Linked DNA regions of Drosophila melanogaster. The protein of the gene in region 2 purifies or fractionates together with the protein of the main gene of each other region. This does not show direct contact. Each region holds a gene or a part of one and is shown on either strand. Other genes may lie near its edges.

Region 1 (5,511 bases), about 12 Mb from region 2:
AAAGCAATTTCAAGTGGGGAGAACCAGCAAAAATGCAGTAATTTCATGTGGAAACAATATCGGCCAAGAAACTAGTAGTTAGTCTTGATAACATCTGGTTAGCTATCAGACAAACGAGATCATGTACTTCCTAGAAGAAATGGTATTGCGATATGACTAAACTGATCCAATATTTATGTACATACATATGTACATCACGCAAGTCAGCTTATCTTATCTGATATTATCTTGATTTTTGCAAAATAAAGCTCATTGCTACCAACTGCGATGAATATCTATTATTCTGACCTAAATTGTGGCCGCATAAGGCGAAAGATTGTATATGTACATGTACTGACTTATAGGGAGTGTCAGGCTTTTCGTAATTGCTTGAGTCGCACATATGGGCAAGAACTGCATAAAGGGTATTTCTTAGGAAACGAAAAGCATGATACTTTTAGGTGGCACCAACGGTTCGCGTTAGTTTTCACTGGTCCAATAAGCATCACACATACATACATACATACATAGCAGTGTGAGAGGTAAACACTTTTAATTGTTTGCGGCGAGTGATTTACCTATCCGCTTGACTCGAGCCACGTTCCCAGTCAATGCTCCTGCGGAATGACTCATCCATTAGCTCATGGTTAACTAAGATATTGAGAATGTAATCGTCATATCCAAATCGCCATATCCATCGTCATGCCTATCATACCCAGACGTGTGCCAAGCGGACCCGTTCCGCTGCAGTTGAGTAAACAACGAATTTAATATGGAATGCTTTTCAGCTTTTATGTAGTTAAACTAAGGAGAAGACTTTATTTTATAAAATGCAAGAGTATATTTTGTTTCTTGATGTTTTCTGCTGCGCTTGCGGCTTTTGCCTTGCTGGTGTGTGTTCGGGTGTTCAATGACTTTATGCATAATAGGTAAAATACAATTACAATATCAATAGCATACGTTATACATGGATTCGTTATTCGTTATAATTAATTTTAGGATCAATTTCGCCTCGCACTCGTACATTCTGCTTAGTTTTTATTATGATTAGGCTTTAAGATACTTAAGTATTTTGCAAATACCGTTTGTTACTGTCTCGATTTAATTCGTTTGCGTGTTCAATTCATTAGGCTAGCAAATGTGTTTCGTCAAGTAATGCGTGGATATATATTGGTAAAATACTGCAACTGCTATGTGTTATATGTACTTGTATAGTATGTAGAAAACAAATGCAACGCCGTCGCTGGACGATTGCTGTGCGAATAGAAGCCTTGTGGGGCGGCTGGGCCCAACAATAGATATATTTATGCACTTTTCGAATTACTTTATGTGGTAGGAATAAGAGTAGGATACGCTAGGGTTTTCATTTGCTTTGTTCTCGAGATTAGCGCTTAAGTATACGAGGAGCGGAAGGGGGTTTGGGGAATGGGGGTTTTGAGCGTGTTGACTTAGAACAGACCCTTCTTTTTCTTCTCCTTCTTGCCATCCACATTGTCCGTGCTGCTGTTGGCCCCCAGGCTGCGTCGCTTGAGCTCCTCGAGCGTCACGTGGTTGACATCCTCCCACTCCTTCTTCTCGCGCTCGAACTCGCGTCTCTTCTCCTCCAGCTCCCGGATCTGCAGCTCCAGCGCCTTCTTGCGCTCCTCGTGGCGCCGCGCCAGCTCCAGCTCCGAGTCCCTGAGCTTCTGCATCTTCTCCTTGACCTTCATGTCAAACACCTGCTCCATCTCGGCCTCCATCTTCTTCATCTTCTGCTCGTGCTCCCGCTTTTCCTCCTCCATCTGGGTGAGTGGGTTCTTGTTGGACAGCCTGGCCTTGCCGTCCACCAATCCCAGCTCGGATAGCTTCCGGCAGCGGTAGTTCTCGTAGTGGACGTTGTTCGTCACGTCCTTGAGGTCCTGAAGGTGCGTGCGTATGACCATGTTGCGCAGCGCTATAAAGTCGCAATGCGTCAGGTTCTCCACCTCCACCAGGCCCCAGGGATAACGCCTACCCCGGACCTTCTTTCCGTCCTGCTCGATGATGGTGTTGGCACCCACCACCGCGAATGGCACTCGGCTGCGCAAATTCTGCGTGGTTTTGGCCTCCTCGGCCGCATCCTCCAGCGTGGCGGGGAAGTCGTAGATCTTGATCTTGTGCTGGGCGATCTCGTTAAGGATCTGCTTCTTAAATAGATGCACCTCGTCGGGCGTCATGGTGTCCGCCTTGGCGATCACCGGCACCAGATTTACCTTGTCCGACAGGCTCTGCATGCAGGCAATGTCCAGCGGCAGGAGTCCGTGTCCCGATGGCGCTATGAAGTAGAGGCAGCAGTGCACCCGGCTGTCCGAAATGGTTTTTCGGTACACCCGCGACTCGGCTGTCAGGTACTCCTCGTACTTGCTATCCACGTACTCCAGTATGGGCACCCAGCAGTTGCTGTTGTCAACGGCATCACCGAATCCGGGTGTGTCCACCACCGTGAGTGTCAGATTGACGCCGTTCTCCTTGAGCATTACTTTGGTGGCCTCCACGGCCACGGTCTTCTTTTTGCGCAGCGAGGGGCCCGGATACTGTTCCGCGTTGTAGATGTCCGACAGGAACATGGAGTTGATCAGCGTCGACTTGCCCAGCCCACTGGCGCCCACCACCATCAGAGTGAACTCGAATCCCCGCTTGACGGCCTTGCGATAGACCTGATTGGGCAGGTTGGCGAAGCCCACATAGCCGGCGATCTCCATGGGCTTCTGGCGCACCGGGAGCGGTGGCTTCTGTGGCTTCTGCGCCTGCTGGTGCTCCTTCTCCTGCAGATCGTGGGTCAGTTTGTTCGAGTCGCCGTTGGAGGCGCCTCCGCCGCTGGTGTCCAGCTTGCCACTGGCGGCCACTGGCACACTGGGCGGCTGATTGGGCGGTCGTCCACCGACGCCCACCAAGGACTCGCTGCCGCTGCTGCCGTTCGTGGCAGAGGACGCCGATGCCGACGCAGCCTGCTGCTTGTCGCGCAGAGCCAGTTGGGCCAGAGTGCTGGGCAGAGCGGAGATGGCGCCGCCGCTGCCGCCATTAACCGCGTTCGAGCGAGGACTATTCATTGGAATAGCGCCAAATTCGCCTTTGAGCCTTCGATATTCGTTCGCAGGTGGGCTTCACTGTATTTATTCACTTTGCTTGCACAGAACCGTTGCTTTTTCACCGCTTTTGTCACGCCTACGCCAGCTCTTTTACGCTCTTACTTTTCTTGCATTTTCTGTGTCAGTAGGACCGTGCGCTGCAACGCGATAAATACTTCTGCTCCGCTCTCGCAGGCAACAACAACGCCCCAGCTCAGGCGCAGTGTGACCCTGGAAAATACCGGACGAGAGCCGCGAATATACCAAACGACGCTTGGAGTGAGAGCGCATGAGTAATGCGACACATACACACAGAGATACACGCACCCATACTGCCGCAGCAATGCACATGCAAACGGGCAAAGAGAACTATTTTCTGGTGGCCTTATCACTTGAAATGGAATGTTATGTTTAAAAATAGGCAATGAAACGCATTCATGTGTCCCAGCACTTGGGATTCCAGATTTCTGGCCTGAATGACTGCACTGGAGTGGCCACGGATCGCATTACAATCGCCCGCTGATGCACAGGAAGAAATTATCCGTCTAGATGACTTTGACTTTTGCCTTAAGCAGGGGTGGATTACTGAGGGGTTTTTTGACTACATATCGAACTATATTTATTTTAAAACATTTTCAGTTTATGTTTGTCCATTTTTATAGGGAATTAATTTCTATGGTACACCATAACGGGTTTTTAAATAAAATTGTTCACTACGCCCATGACTTTTGTGGTTACGGGTTCCCTTTAATTTTTGTTGCAATGTTGCGCATGCCCGTGAGAGCAGCAGAAGGAGCAGAGAAAGAAGAAGAGGAAGCTGAGCTTATCTCTCTCGCTGAGAACTAAAGATGCTTCTGTCGCGTGGGTGTTGTTATTGTGACGCTGAGAACTCGACTTTCGCTTCTCTCTCACACTTGCTATAATTCCATTCGACTCTGTTTGGAAAGAGGTTAGTGAGCTAACTAACGCCCCTTGTGGGCGTGTGAGAAGTGCCATAAAAAGGAGCTGGATAATAACTGGCCTCTGTCGTTTGACCCGCTTCATGCTCGAGTGTCCTCGTCGAAAGTTCCCACACACGCCTCGTCCTGGCACCCTCTCTACCCCACCCTCTACGCGTCATCGCATGCCGATGCATACACGCACACGGACAAAGCCCGTTGATTGTGCGCTCTGCGTTTCGGTTTGTTTGTAATTTAAATTCTCATGCACTTCTGGCGATCGTCACTGGTAGAGGGGGAGGGGGAGAGGGAGGTACTAACCACCACCATTAAGAGGGTCCTGCGTCCTACTCCGCCTGCTTGGTGGTGGTGGTTTCCTTCCTTCCTACCATCCAGCCTTCCTTGCTTCCGAACTTCCCCCTTTTGCACGTGGATTTCCACCAAACGCCGTCTGCGCGACAACAAGGTGATCGTGAGAAAGTTTTTTTCTCACATTATTCCAAAGCGACTCCTGTTTTAATTTTAGCCTCTATCGGAATTAATATGCATTTATGAATTGATATGACTCGCGGTGGCTCGATTTTTACCCTAGGGGATGACTGTACTTATTGGAGGATTTACAGTTGTTGTCGTCAAGGGAAAAGGTAAATCGAGGGAAGTTCTGTGGAATTTTGTGGCTAGAGATCCCCTTGTTTCTTGTTATTCTTACTAATTTGATTGTCGATTGCATTTTATGATCTCAATACATATTTTTTGTTCTAAAAAGTTATTTAATGAATTCTTTTTCATTCTTTATCAAACTTTATTTTAAGCTTTATTAATACATTTAACATTTATGACCATCCGAAACCATTTGATTAACCCAAAATATAAGGAGAAAGTCGATTTTATTCATTAAGTCTATTTATATGTATATTTACTTTAGCTTCCTTAAACTAATTTTATATTGCTTTTTTGGGTGCATCTTTAACGATTAAAAACATACGCGTATGTACTTTCGTACTTTTTTATAGCACTACTTTTTTATAGCACTAAAAAGTTGATTTTCTATTATCGTATTCATCAATGCTAAATACATTTCATTTTTGGCTGGGGGCTTCGAAACTAGATGTTTTTTACGACAGATGTTAGGTCTTGAAATGTGCCACCGCAACTGCAACCGCAAATCTTTACAGCGAACAAATCCCACCTAATCTCCCCGCAACCCTTCCTCGTGTTCATAGTTTTGAGATCTTGAGCAGCTGTTTCGCATCAGGCACACTCCATACGAAATCCATTCGGAGACGCATCTTCTTCAATATTATGTAAGATGCTTGCCAGCAATTAGGGCCCGCTAGAAGCCAGAGGAAAACCCGTGCGCCCCTGAAAAGTCACTATTTCTTAGCGCCGACCATTGTCCGGGCCAAGTCCATTGTTCTCGTGGCTCGAAGAAGTGGCGGGGGATGCAGCCGGGAGAATGGAGTCGGCAGCTGTGCCAATTCTTGGCACGAGAGCAAGGACAGTTTAGT
Region 2 (4,866 bases):
GCTGTCTAGAACGACTGCGATTACGCATATTGCTCGGCTGCCTTATGTCCCAGATTTTGATGCTTTGGTCTTTGGAGTTGGACAGCACGTGGTAGCCGTCGTTGCGCGAATCGATGTAGGTGATGCCATCGTAGTGGCCGATGAAGGATGCCACAGACTTGGACAGGTCCCGTGAACGGAAGGTGGTGCGCAGGTCGTAGACCTTTAGCAGGCCGTCGTCACAGCCGGCGATTATCACATTTGGATCCTTATCGTGTAGGAAGCACACCGAGTTAACATCCTTGCCGGGCATGCGGTGGGTGCGCAGGATCTGTGTGTTTCTTGTGCGAATGTCGGTCACGATGACCGTGGAATTGTTGCTGCCCCCGATGATTTTGTCGCCTGTTGGCGAATAGCGCAGCGAGAAGATGGCCAACCTATGGCTTGGCAGTCCATTGACATCGATCCACTGGCAGTCGTCTTCCCCCCCATTCACGGGCATGATGAACACTGAAGGGGAAAACAACTTAGTGTGGATAAACAGATTGGGCGGAGTACCTACATGAGCGGGACCAGGTGCTGTAGGCGAAGTGCTCGCCATTCGGACTAAAATCCGCATCGATGATGCTCCACTCAACATCGCGGGCTCGGATGCGATTCAGCAGGTGATAAGTGCCCTTGGCGCCATCGTAAATGCGCACAAAGCCATCTGGAAGGGGTCAAAATCGTGTTTTAATGCCAATCGGAAGCGTTAATCATGAATGCTGACCTTGACAAGCGGTCAGCAACTTGCTGCCCGAACGATTGAACTTGGTCACAAATATTTTGGATTCCAGCGACATCAGGCGTGTGGCCTTTTTGTTTGGTATGTAAAGATTGGATATGTAGCGCTGCTGGTTCTTGGAGAACGATGCGCTGTGCGGCGATGCCAACCCATTCTCACGCTGCTGAAGGGCGTGCACCAGGTTCCAGCGATTGTTCGGATTGCTCACTAATCCACTCGACGCCTGGATCTCCTTGTACATATCAGTTTTCTGGAAGATTGCGTGGGCAATAAATTACTATTAATTGTTATCTGGGGACGGGGTATTTCGTCATTACCTGAAATTTAACTAGATCGGGCTTGCCTCGTATAACTGGCATCTCGCTGCTGCAATAATCGGAGCGCAGATCCATGGCGTTCACCGTAAAGTTGATCACGTTGAAGCCCAGCTCGTTGTCCGAAGAATCAAAATCGTCGTCTTCATCGCTATTCATCTGTATAGCCAATTGGTTCCCCATAACTTTTTGCGTTTTCCCTTTTGCACTCTTTTGTTATTAATTTCAACCTATCGTTTCTTCGATAATTGTTGCAGCCAGTGAGACCGCAGGTGAAGAGCCTGAAAATACCACGATGTTCAAGTTCAAACGTTGAACACCTATCGATCTATCGCAGCAGATTACGAACAAAAAATTGTAAAACCTTTCTATATAAATATTTATATAAATTAAAACTATTAAAAATGCTAAGCTGAAATGATAGTTATAGCAAGGAAGTGTAGCCGAGGGCTTTATAAAAAAAAACAAATGAAATTATAGATTTTCCAACGGGGACCAGAGTAAAATATTTTTAACGATTACTGGAACTCCTAGGCTGATCCGTGGACGGCTATCGATAGTAGTGGTGGGCACGCGCAGTTGCCTTTGCGAAGCGAGCTTTTTGGAGCTATGTAAAAGCTTTACCCCCAACAAAGCTCGACTCAGAGCGGATTCCATTCCGCGAATAGCAAAGCAACTAGTCTCAAATCGATCGTGATCGCGCTCGAGCCGAACGGAAAAGAAACGGATCGAAAAGAAAAGCGGCTCGAAACCTGTGCTAGTGTGAGTGAACGCGTCCGTGTGTGTCGTCGTGCTGTGCTGATTGTGTATGAGTGGTTGTGTTTGGTAATGAAATTTTGTTACATTCCCAATATTCGAAACCTGCTGTTCGGAGAAGAGACTTTTGGAGGCACAACAAATAATGCCGAAAATGTGATAAAGCGCAGAATTGGAATTCCGGATTCATGGACCTTGCGAACTGAACAATCTGCTCTCCCCTTTTTCTATGCCTGTGTGTGTGTATGCAATATGTGTGCTTGGATCTCGCTGGGGCTATCGCTCTGTGTGTGTGTGTTTGTGTGTCGGTGTGCGCCTGCGTGTGTGTAAAATTTATGATAAATACTTTTGCACAAAGCGCGCCCCTTTGCAACCAGAAGAAGAAAGTTGTTTAGCATATATGCGTAAAAGTAATAGAAATACACATAAACGGCAAAGAAGTGTGTCAAAAAGGGCCTAGAATAAGCACTCCATGTATCGCGTGTGTATAATCTAGGCGAAAATAACAAAAATAATAGCGATGCTGGGGAAATAATCTACGGAAAAACTGGAACAACCGACGCCGCGGCTGCAGACACGAAAAAAAAGTGAAAGATTGCAGGCTGACGTTTGAAGTCGAAGCTGGGCCTGCGTCACGGCATAAACACACACATAAACCAATACAAACGCAAATAGACGGGGTGGGTGGTTGAGGCGACACCACCTGTCATGGGCGCTGGTTGCACCCGCCCTCCATCCCTTTTAACTACACGGGTTTCGTATGTGGCTTCCAATTATTGTGGCTTGCTCATAAATTATTTTCGGTGTTTGTGCTTCTAATTTATTGCCAGCGAAATGGGCGATTTCTAAAAGCAATTCATTGTTCCATTCAATTAGCGACTTTGAAATTGGCACAGCAAAGCAAGTACCTTGATTTTTTCAAATTTGCCCAACCAATTCTCACACTTTTCAAGAACAGTTAAACGTTTTTGACAAGTACTTTTGTATACTTTAAATAGTTCGCCTAAAAGTAAAGCGAAATGGGAAAACAGTTTGAATTTTATAATGTTTATTAATTTAACAATTATTTAAGTTCATCACATTGAAATTATCTGCCTTTATTTCCATAATCTAAAAAGGGGAATCATTGCCCTGTTCGACTTGTTAGTTATTCACATTAGTGCCATTGTCACATTTTAAGTTTATATTTCTCCCCTCATATCGCTACTCTGCAGTGACGCAATCATTTGCATCTTATTTTAATTCCTATGATTGTTTCACTGCCAGGCGGAATAACCAGTTGCTTTTTGTCTTGTTGTTTGCTGCTTGGCTGTTGTTTCTTTGCATTTATCAAATCTTTGTATCTGGCTTTAATGTGATTAGCGGTGGCAATTATGCCAATTCAAGTTCATTATACTTGTGTTGCTGCTGCAGCAGTTTACTGTTATTATTGGTATTTATTTAATTGTCATTGTTAGCGTTTCGTTAAGCAATGCCAGCGATAAGGGAAACGACAAAAACAACAGCAGAGATACCACATCGAAACGAAAGACTTAGGCAACGAACTTGTTCGCCCGATGCAAATGCTTCCGAGTGCTTATCAATTTATTTAAATGTCTCGATTGCAAACAATTGCCCGCGCAGAGCAACTTTCGTTTTTGTGACTGCTTCTCGCGTTTGTCATTTTATTTTGTATGTTTATATTCCATTCGCATGGCATTTCATCCGCATTGAGGTGGAAAAGAAACCCAAAGCTGGCACGGAGCACAGGCATGTGTGCGAAATTATATGCGGCATCTCGGGTTACCTGCAGTCCATAGCTTCTTAGTCACACCCAAGTGGCCATGGTGGCATGATGGGATGATGGAACGATATTGTGATAGGTGATGTAAGTCGCACGAGGCGTTTTGTCAAAGCCGCCCCATCCAATTTGCAGGGTCTTCGCGGCTATCCACGTATTCATGTCCATTACAATTATAATTACACGCTAATTATGTCAGCCGCTAAGCGTAATTGGACCATTCAATCACACCGATTATGATCGCATCAACAGATCAAACTGCCATTTTTGTCGCTCTCGATGTGGGCGTTGTTGATTGATATTCGAATCGATGCGGGGGCTATGGCCAAAGAGCTAGACGAGATTGTGGACAGGTTAGTCATCGATGGAGCTTATGGTCTTTAAGGGCACAAATCTCCCGCTCGTCTTGATTCACACATCAATTTGTTGCCTCACATTCGATGTGGTCGATCAAAAGGCAGACCTCAAAAGCGGAATAAATTTTTATTCACAGCCAATCAAAATAATTTGGTGTTACAAAATGTCTTGGCGGCCTTCGCCGCATTTGCATTGGCGTTTTCCCCTTTTCCATTTCAATTTCTTACCATTTTCCATTAGTGCTGCAGCTGCAATGTGGCATGCAATCCACAGATCAGCAACCTTCGATGCCGCAACTGGCGCTAATCATAAGGCCTTGCCACCACCCATTCCCCAACCGATCCCCAACCACCCACCATTCATCGCCCGGACTCAACGTTCATTAAACTTGAAAAGAAAGCAAAACGATGACTTTGAGTTCGACTGCGGCTTTTGGCTTTGTCTGCGCAACTGAGCCGCATTTGTTTTAATTTTGGTCAGAGCAACAGACGCCGCAACAACAATGATTTCAATTAAAGTAACATGCACTTGCTCGCACACACTTACCTTCACACAGTCTGCTTTTCCACTTCAATTTAATTGTTGTAGCTAGACAAAAACCGAAAGGAAACCTGCCAGTAACAATCGCGTCAATTAATCAAATGGAAAATGCAACTTTTGTGCCGCTGCCAGGCGGCAGTTGCAAGTTGCACGAGCCAGTTGTACGACGAATGCAGCAACTCAAGTTCAATTGTGGCACGTTTGGAGCAATCTCAAGCTCGACTTCCCAAGCGAGGTCAATGGCAAGGCGAAACGGATTTAACCCTTTGCCGCTGAGAAACGCCAAAACTCTTGTCCACCGTGTCCAGTTAATTAAGATTCATTAATAATCTGCCCATAGCCAAAATAAATGAAAG

What was found.
Region 1: the proteins of Hil (region 2) and pnut purify together in Drosophila melanogaster (affinity purification with western blotting; one study listed by BioGRID). This does not show direct contact.

Annotation. Positions count from the first base shown.
Region 1 is NT_033778.4:8,235,593-8,241,103, reverse strand, and holds pnut (peanut), read right to left. Parts: upstream 3,834-5,511; 5' UTR 3,048-3,833; coding exon 1,428-3,047; 3' UTR 807-1,427; downstream 1-806. UniProt on the Drosophila melanogaster protein: Involved in cytokinesis and possibly cellularization. Also acts as an enhancer of the sina gene, thus having a role in photoreceptor development. May be involved in p53-dependent apoptosis.
Region 2 is NT_033778.4:20,615,103-20,619,968, reverse strand, and holds the start of Hil (hillarin), read left to right. Parts: upstream 1-1,751; 5' UTR 1,752-1,902; intron 1,903-4,866. Other genes in the region: CG9945 (uncharacterized protein), read right to left, coding at 1-489, 542-688, 749-1,013, 1,081-1,260. UniProt on the Drosophila melanogaster protein: May act as a modulator of septin function during cytokinesis in the developing nervous system.